Linked DNA regions of Solanum lycopersicum. The protein of the gene in region 1 binds, or shares a complex with, the protein of each later gene. Links are inferred from orthologs where the notes say so. Each region holds a gene or a part of one and is shown on either strand. Other genes may lie near its edges.

Region 1 (3,758 bases):
TCTTCCAACTTTGCATTGCCAACCTTCATTCTTTCCATGATCATCCAAAGCCATCCTGTGCCTTCCCTACATGGTGTACATTGACCACAACTCTCGTGCTTGTAGAAGTACGAGAGCCTTGCAATTGCATCTACAACATCAGTTGACTTGTCCATGACAATTACAGCAGCAGTTCCCAACCCTGACTGCACAGCTTTGAGTGCATCAAAATCCATAAGTACATCCTCACATATGTTCTTGGGAAGCAGTGGAACAGATGAACCTCCTGGTATAACAGCAAGCAAATTGTCCCATCCTCCACGCACACCACCACAGTGCCTCTCTAGCAGCTCCTTCAATGAAATACTCATTTCCTCTTCAACTGTACAGGGCTTGTTAACATGGCCTGAGATGCAAAACAGCTTTGTCCCGGCATTATTCTTCCGGCCAAAACTAGCAAACCACTCTGGACCACGCCTTAAGATGGTTGGTGAAACAGCTACTGTTTCAACATTTGTAACAGTTGTTGGACATCCATATAGTCCTGCATTAGCTGGAAATGGAGGCTTCAATCTTGGTTTGCCTTGTTTGCCCTCAAGGCTCTCCAGAAGAGCTGTCTCTTCACCACAAATATAGGCACCAGCACCAAAATGAATATATACGTCAAAATCATAACCAGATCCACAAGCATTTTTCCCCAACAATCCAGCTTCATAGGCTTCTTGTCTAGCCTTCTGAAGGCTCAACCTTTCATTCACATACTCTCCCCTGATATAAATATAAGCAGCTCTAGCTCTCATCCCCACTCCTGCAATCAGACAGCCTTCCAACAACTTGTGTGGGTCATGCCGCATGATTTCCCTGTCTTTACAGGTTCCAGGTTCACTTTCATCAGCATTGACGACAAGATATGAAGGACGGCCATCTGTTGTCTTTGGCATGAAGGACCATTTGAGACCAGATGGAAAACCAGCACCACCACGTCCTCGAAGACCAGATTTCTTCATTTCATTCACGATCCAGTCAGAACCCTTGATGACAAGATCTTTTGTTCTGTACCAATCTCCTCGCTTCATGGCACCTTTGAGGTAAGGGTCATGCAATCCGTAGAGATTTGTGAAAATACGATCCTCATCTTTAAGGCCACCAAAGTGAGTCCTCTCGGGAGGTGGGGGTGGGGGTGTAGGTTGGGGAGTGCTAGCAGTTGATGCAGCCTGAGTGCTAAATAACCTACCATATTGGCCCCATCTTTCACTAGAACGCTGAGCTAATGCAGTTCGTTGTAGAGAAAGAAGGCCCTTTATAGGTGCCTGTTAGAAGAACATGCCACACATCAGTAATTTTAGCCTCATAAGAGGCGAGACTGAGCAAGCATAATTACAAAGGTAAAAGATTGTATTATACTGCACTAAGCGATGGGTCTATGCATCATGATTGCAAAATACTCTCTTTTTCTAGGAGACCAACCACAACACAACTCTTTTCCAGGCTTTAGATGGGGTACACTTTGCTAAACTCACCGAAGCAGAGTTGATTGAATAGAAACATAAGATCGAGAGAGTAACAGTAACATTTCCAAAAAAATTATTCCCAAAATAGATTGTTAATACCTGATGCTAAGGGAATTGCACAAGAGGGGAAGAAACAAAAAGAATACCCTCCTTTTGATGTCTGGGTGGGGGAGGGGAGGAAACACTTACGCAAAACATCTCTAACTAACTGTTTTCAAAGTTTAGGTACTAATTTAATTTACATCTACCTCTCTAAAATAAATACATAAGCCTTCCGAAGTAATAGAGTATGAAGGTTTTCTTTCCCTGAAAAAAGAAGCTTACCTTGAAAGAGCTTAATTCAAAGTACAGCGGAAGACTACACTAACTCCTTATTAATCTATATACATATAACTCATTCTAAATTACAAAGTTGAAAACACACACAAACAAAGAAAAGAAGCTACGGAGTCTATGAATTAAAGAGTTCTGATAAGGAGGTTAGGTTCAAAATATGAACTTGCATAACTTATAACATACTCCAATCTAAAAAAATAACCCATTTTTTTTCAACGAAAGCAGATCAATGAAGCAACACCTCTCCTGAATAACTTATCCAGGAATCAAAAAAGATCAAAAGCAATACCCACATGTGCTAGCCAAATAAAATTTAGGGTTCCTCATCATTCATCTTTCTAGGAATACCATGGCCATTCGAATCAGTTAAAATTAAGCCACATCTCTGAAAATATAAATTTGCAATAAATATCCTATGAAGAGTACCAAAAGAGTAATCAACGAACAAACCGAGGACGCATCAAAATGCACGTAAGGCGTATTCTCACAACAAATTTTCATTTGTATTTTGGTGGCGCAAAAAAATTACAGATCGAAGATAGGGACTTACCATGAATATTGAAGCAGAAATGTGATTAATCGACGAAATTCAGCTGATTCTCCAGCAGATTAGGGTGAGATTGAAGCTCTCTTTCTCATAAAAATAAGAAAAAAATAAGGGAAAATGAAGCTGTTGCGATTTGTGAATCATGACGGTCCACGTAGTGGGCTTGATGGGTATGAAATATCATGATGGGCCTTAGTGTTCAGGAAATGTCGTAATGGGCCTTAGTGACACCAAAGTTAAAAGATTTATCGTCTGCCATTAATGTACCAATATGATCGAAATATGCAAAAATCATGTATACCAGTGATATACATTTATCGTCTGCCATTAATGTCCAATATATACCCAAATATTATATTCTTTCCCTATTTTAAAAGTTAACAGATATAGCTTGAAAAATTACTCTTTTGGTTAATGTTAGGTTTGGATGTGTACATAGACAAAATTTAAATATCATCTAAAAACAAAGCCATTAGTGCTAATGAATCCTCAATACACACGCGTGTGTTAGAACATTTGATAATAAATTGTTCTAAATGCGATAATAATAATCGTAAGAGTGGTGTGTAAATAATTTATTATTATCGTAAAAAAGTAAGATGTTGTTTTTGCTAAAAACTCGACTAAGCTAAAACATATAAAAAAAACTAAGACCAATGCAGAGAAAACAACAAATAGTAGTAGAATTGAAAAATAAGTTAATAGAAGAGTAATGATAACGTAGTATTTTAAACAAGAGACATAAAATTAAACCATACATGTGCTTAGAATCAATCCTTGTTCGATACTAATTTTATTTTTAATTTTTCACCGGTGTTTATATTCACATTGAAGTCCAACTAAATTTAAATTCGTGCGGAAAAATTTTACGTTAAAAATAAAGTGCTCCGTAAAAAAAATGACTATGTATCAACGTTACCTAAATCCACCACGTCTTGATTAAGGATAAATGAGTCCACCATATTTCTCGTAGGTGGTTCAATACTAGATTAACTCTTGGCCTAATACTTTCTACAAGATATAGAAAAACACTATACGGATCCGTGATACATTGTTGTTCATAATTCCTTTGTATCTCAAACTTTTCCCCATTGTTTCAATCCATTGTCATATAAGAACATGTGCAAAGTGTTAATTACTATCTGGAATCCATACAATCTCTCCTTTATGATTGTTGTAAATAGAGATGTTGTTGTTGACAATGATGGCAGCTCAATTATATGCTTTACCCATGCCTCTGTTTCACTAGTACCATTTGAGAATATACTAAAAATTTTATGACGAATGAGGCACAAGTGTTATGTGGTAGACAAAATTTGTATGATCCTTCATTTATTTTTTGACAAGTAGTTAACTGGGTCCTATTTCAAAAAAAAAATAGCCCA
Region 2 (3,739 bases), about 3.7 Mb from region 1:
TAATTTTATATATTTTATATTTATACAAATTTTAATTTTCCCATCTTATAATTTTATATTAAATAAAAAATACAATAATAAACTTTTAATTATAATTTTTATCTTAACACACTACACTCTTATAAAGGATAAAAAATCGATCTATTAAGCTGCCTTGGAATTTTGTGCTTTGCGATAGTATGGATAATATAACATTATTTTTATGGTCATAGCTCATAAGTAAAAGATCGCTGTTATTTAAAATTTAATTTCAATTATTCAAATAAGTGAACAAATTAAGTGAAGTTTTTGTCTCAATAATTAAATTAGTTCATATATGTGAGTTAATAGGACGGTTCAGTTGGTTATTTTTTAAGAAATTATATCATCTTAATTTTATTTTTACGATTAAATTGTCATCTCAATCATATTAGTTTCTTTTCAATATCGGTATGATTTAATTAATTTTCGTTTTTTTTCTTATTTTTCAAGTATCACCTCAAAATATATTGTTTTTAAATATTTTTCAGGTATATTTTTAAAGAAATACTTCACTTCTTCATCAGATGTCAAGAATATAAAATGTTGTTATCGTGGTGTTTGATCTTAAAAATTTAATAGAAATGCTTGCATGTTTTCTGTATCTAAGACGTAAGTTATATTTATATATTAAATTTAACATATTAGTAACATATAAAATATATTTACATACATGTGAGGTTATTAGATTCGAAAAATTATCACTTTTTTTAATTGAAAAGATCATTTGAATTATTTGAGACAATTATACACTAAAATAAAAGTCTACAATTATTAAAAAAGTGATAAAAATTCATTGGATTTAATTTTTTATATTCTTTTGATACCCACAGATTTTGATTTCCCCTTCCCAAATTTTTCTTTTAAATTAAATCTATACTTGAAATTAGGATCAAAATTAAATATTTTTTGTATCTCACCTGAGCACTATAGTTTTTATATAATTATTCGCCTAAATACATCAGAGTACAAAATACTCGTATGTTAGCAAAGTAATGTATGCGTGAATTTATACGAGACATACGCCACATCACCGTGAAAATAAAAATACAAAGGGCAAAGTAATATCTGGCTTCATCACTTCGGCCGGATTCTATCATCTCAGGCAAATGGCTAGCTCTCTCCGACGACTAGCGACGCATTCCTCTCAAGCCGCCTGGCGATCTTCTGTGACGCCGCTATGTAGACAATTTGCGTCAGAAGCGTTGGTCGAAATCAAGCCCGGAGAGATCGGTATGGTCTCTGGTATTCCAGATGAACATCTTCGTAGAAGGGTATAATTTCTTTTCTTTATGTCTCTTCGCTAATATCTATTATTTTGTCAGGTCATTTAGGTGTATGAAAAACTTCATTGTAGGTTACCAATTTATTAGGGCTTCTATAGCAGATCCATGGGTTCCGCTATTTAGGGTTAGCAAATGATTTGGGAAATGGATATGGAGGATCCATATAGTTAGAATCAATTGATTTGAAATTGATATAGTTGATTGATTGCTTTTCATTTTTGCCTTTGTGAATTTATGTTACCTCTAATCCGAAGACTATTCCTTTTTAGCCCTCCTTTTGTCTTCCTCGCTCCTATTCAATGATATAGAAGAGACCATAGCTGCTTAGACACTTGTGACAAGTAAAAAGTTGTAAGTTTTCATGGTAGGGAGTAGTTTCTGCTTGGCAAGTATTAAGTTGAACTTGGACCTTCTAGAGCTTGAATTGATAAGCCTTAATATCAGACCCCAGCTTGGATTAATGCAAACTTTTTCCCCACGGAGGTTTTTCATCCATTTCTGCACAAATTTAGTTATATAGATTTCTTATCAAATCTATAATCTGATCTATATCATCTATACGAAGCTGTTTACACCAAAAAAGTAGAGATAATTCACATTTATTTCTCTCTATGTTCGTGTCTATTATTTTATTTATCCCATATTTTTCCTTTCATGTGCATGGTTGGTTTGCCCTCTCTTTCAATTTTGGTTATATACAAATGTATTGGCTTGTTCAATTTCTTCAACTCTTATATTCTCAAATTTCTTGAAGTGTTTAAATGTGCCAAATGATCCTAATCTTTCTTTTAGTACATATATTTTCTGTCTCTTCATGTGGAAAATTGCTCTCAGTTAGTGGATTAGATCTTATGCACCATGCCCCTTTTGGTAGTTAATAATGTTTGCTCACCAGGTTGTGATTTTCTCTCCTGCTCGGACTGCTAGTCAACAAGGCTCTGGAAAAGTTGGCAGATGGAAAATCAATTTCATGTCTACCCAGAAGTATGTTTTTGGATATCTTCCTTTTCTTTTCATTATTAAGAAGTTAGCATGGTTCACCAATATTAGTCTATTTTTAGCCAGCACAAAATCCTGCAGGACTTTGTACAGTAATTACAATATACAAACTCATCTACCTTATCCTTCTGTCCTGTACTAAACAAGAAGAAACAAAGAGAAAACCTTAAAGAAAGTTTTGACAAGTATAGATTATAAGTTTTTTTTCCCGTTAAAAGACTATAATTTTAATTGTGCCTAGGTCTCAAAATACAATGTTTGACTATGAAATTTGGACCACAACAGGTTGTTTGGTTTGTGAAGGTTAAAGAGATTGTGAACTTATTTTCCTCTAGTGGTTCATATAATTATAGAGATCTGGACATTGGTGTCTTCCTTTTTATCTACTCCCTTTGAACCATTTCATATGTCACCGTTTGACTTGGCATGGTGCTTAAGAAAAAAAGGACTTTTGAAATTTGTGGTCTAAAACAATCTTAGAACATTTGTGTGACCTTAAATCATTTCATTAAGGTAAAAGGGGAATTTTAAATTAAATTGTTTCCAATTATAGTAAGGTGACACTCTTTTTGGGACGGACTTAAAAGTAAAGGGTGGAAAGGGTTCCACATAAAATGGGACTGGGGAGTATCATTTAATACAATGTTGGTGCATCTGATTATGGGGTTTTTTTGGTCGTGGAGGGAGGTAATTAGGAAGGTATATTGGTTTTGACAACGCCAAAACTCTCGGGTTCATAAAAAGAAATTACTAATAAGAGTCCAGAGTTCTTCCTATGCTGTAAAGATCAATTATTGATTAACTTTAAACTTCAATAGAGAATGAACCCCATTCATTGAATTCAGCTTAGCCAGACGGTGTTTCTTCGAGTTTACTTAAGTAGAAAAATTGCTGATTGTTGATGAAAAAAATGTATATTCATATCAGAAGATGCTGAGAGAGAAGCACTCATAATTTATGGCCATGGTAAAAGTTTTGTACTCTCCTCTATGCGAATCAAACTATTTTATCCTGGGTAATTTCATGGATGGTCATCCAACTAAAAATCTTAGTGCACCAAAGCTATAAAATTAATTTTTGTAATGGAAAATGACTCTTAACTATGCGCAAATATCACATTAAATAAAAAACAATAATAATGCTAGAATCTGGTCATAGAAAACACAAGTAGGTTGCTAAATTGTATGAAATTTCTATACAAGTACAACCACGTCAGCAACTCAACCCTTAGATAATATCTACGTGGTGCTACCTAAATGAACAATTTTTTTCCGATCCAACTTACTACCCGACATCTTTACTGTGTGAGCCATCATTTTTTAGGACAGATTTATATTCTTGTAAGTGGTGTCACGTGGATATTATGTAAGATTAGTTGCTGAAATGACAACCTACTTGTGTTTCCAGACTCATTTTAGCATCTCTCGCTTTTTTTT

The links.
Region 2: the proteins of NADH dehydrogenase [ubiquinone] flavoprotein 1, mitochondrial (region 1) and NADH dehydrogenase [ubiquinone] iron-sulfur protein 4, mitochondrial are in contact, whole or in part, in a cryo-EM structure (PDB 8BED), measured with the Arabidopsis thaliana proteins. The link is inferred for Solanum lycopersicum from reciprocal best matches to the Arabidopsis thaliana genes CI51 and FRO1. Residues at the interface, in NP_196470.1 of Arabidopsis thaliana: Gly131, Arg132, Pro133, Glu237, Arg247, Leu248, Pro250, Pro251, Tyr259, Gly260, Cys261; in NP_201560.1 of Arabidopsis thaliana: Tyr140, Ser141, Phe144, Trp146.

Annotation. Positions count from the first base shown.
Region 1 is NC_090801.1:65,985,218-65,988,975, reverse strand, and holds the start of NADH dehydrogenase [ubiquinone] flavoprotein 1, mitochondrial, read right to left. Parts: upstream 2,526-3,758; 5' UTR 2,380-2,525; coding exon 2,377-2,379; intron 1,290-2,376; coding exon 1-1,289. UniProt on the Arabidopsis thaliana protein: Core subunit of the mitochondrial membrane respiratory chain NADH dehydrogenase (Complex I) that is believed to belong to the minimal assembly required for catalysis. Complex I functions in the transfer of electrons from NADH to the respiratory chain.
Region 2 is NC_090801.1:69,719,165-69,722,903, reverse strand, and holds the start of NADH dehydrogenase [ubiquinone] iron-sulfur protein 4, mitochondrial, read left to right. Parts: upstream 1-912; 5' UTR 913-1,127; coding exon 1,128-1,292; intron 1,293-2,199; coding exon 2,200-2,288; intron 2,289-3,739.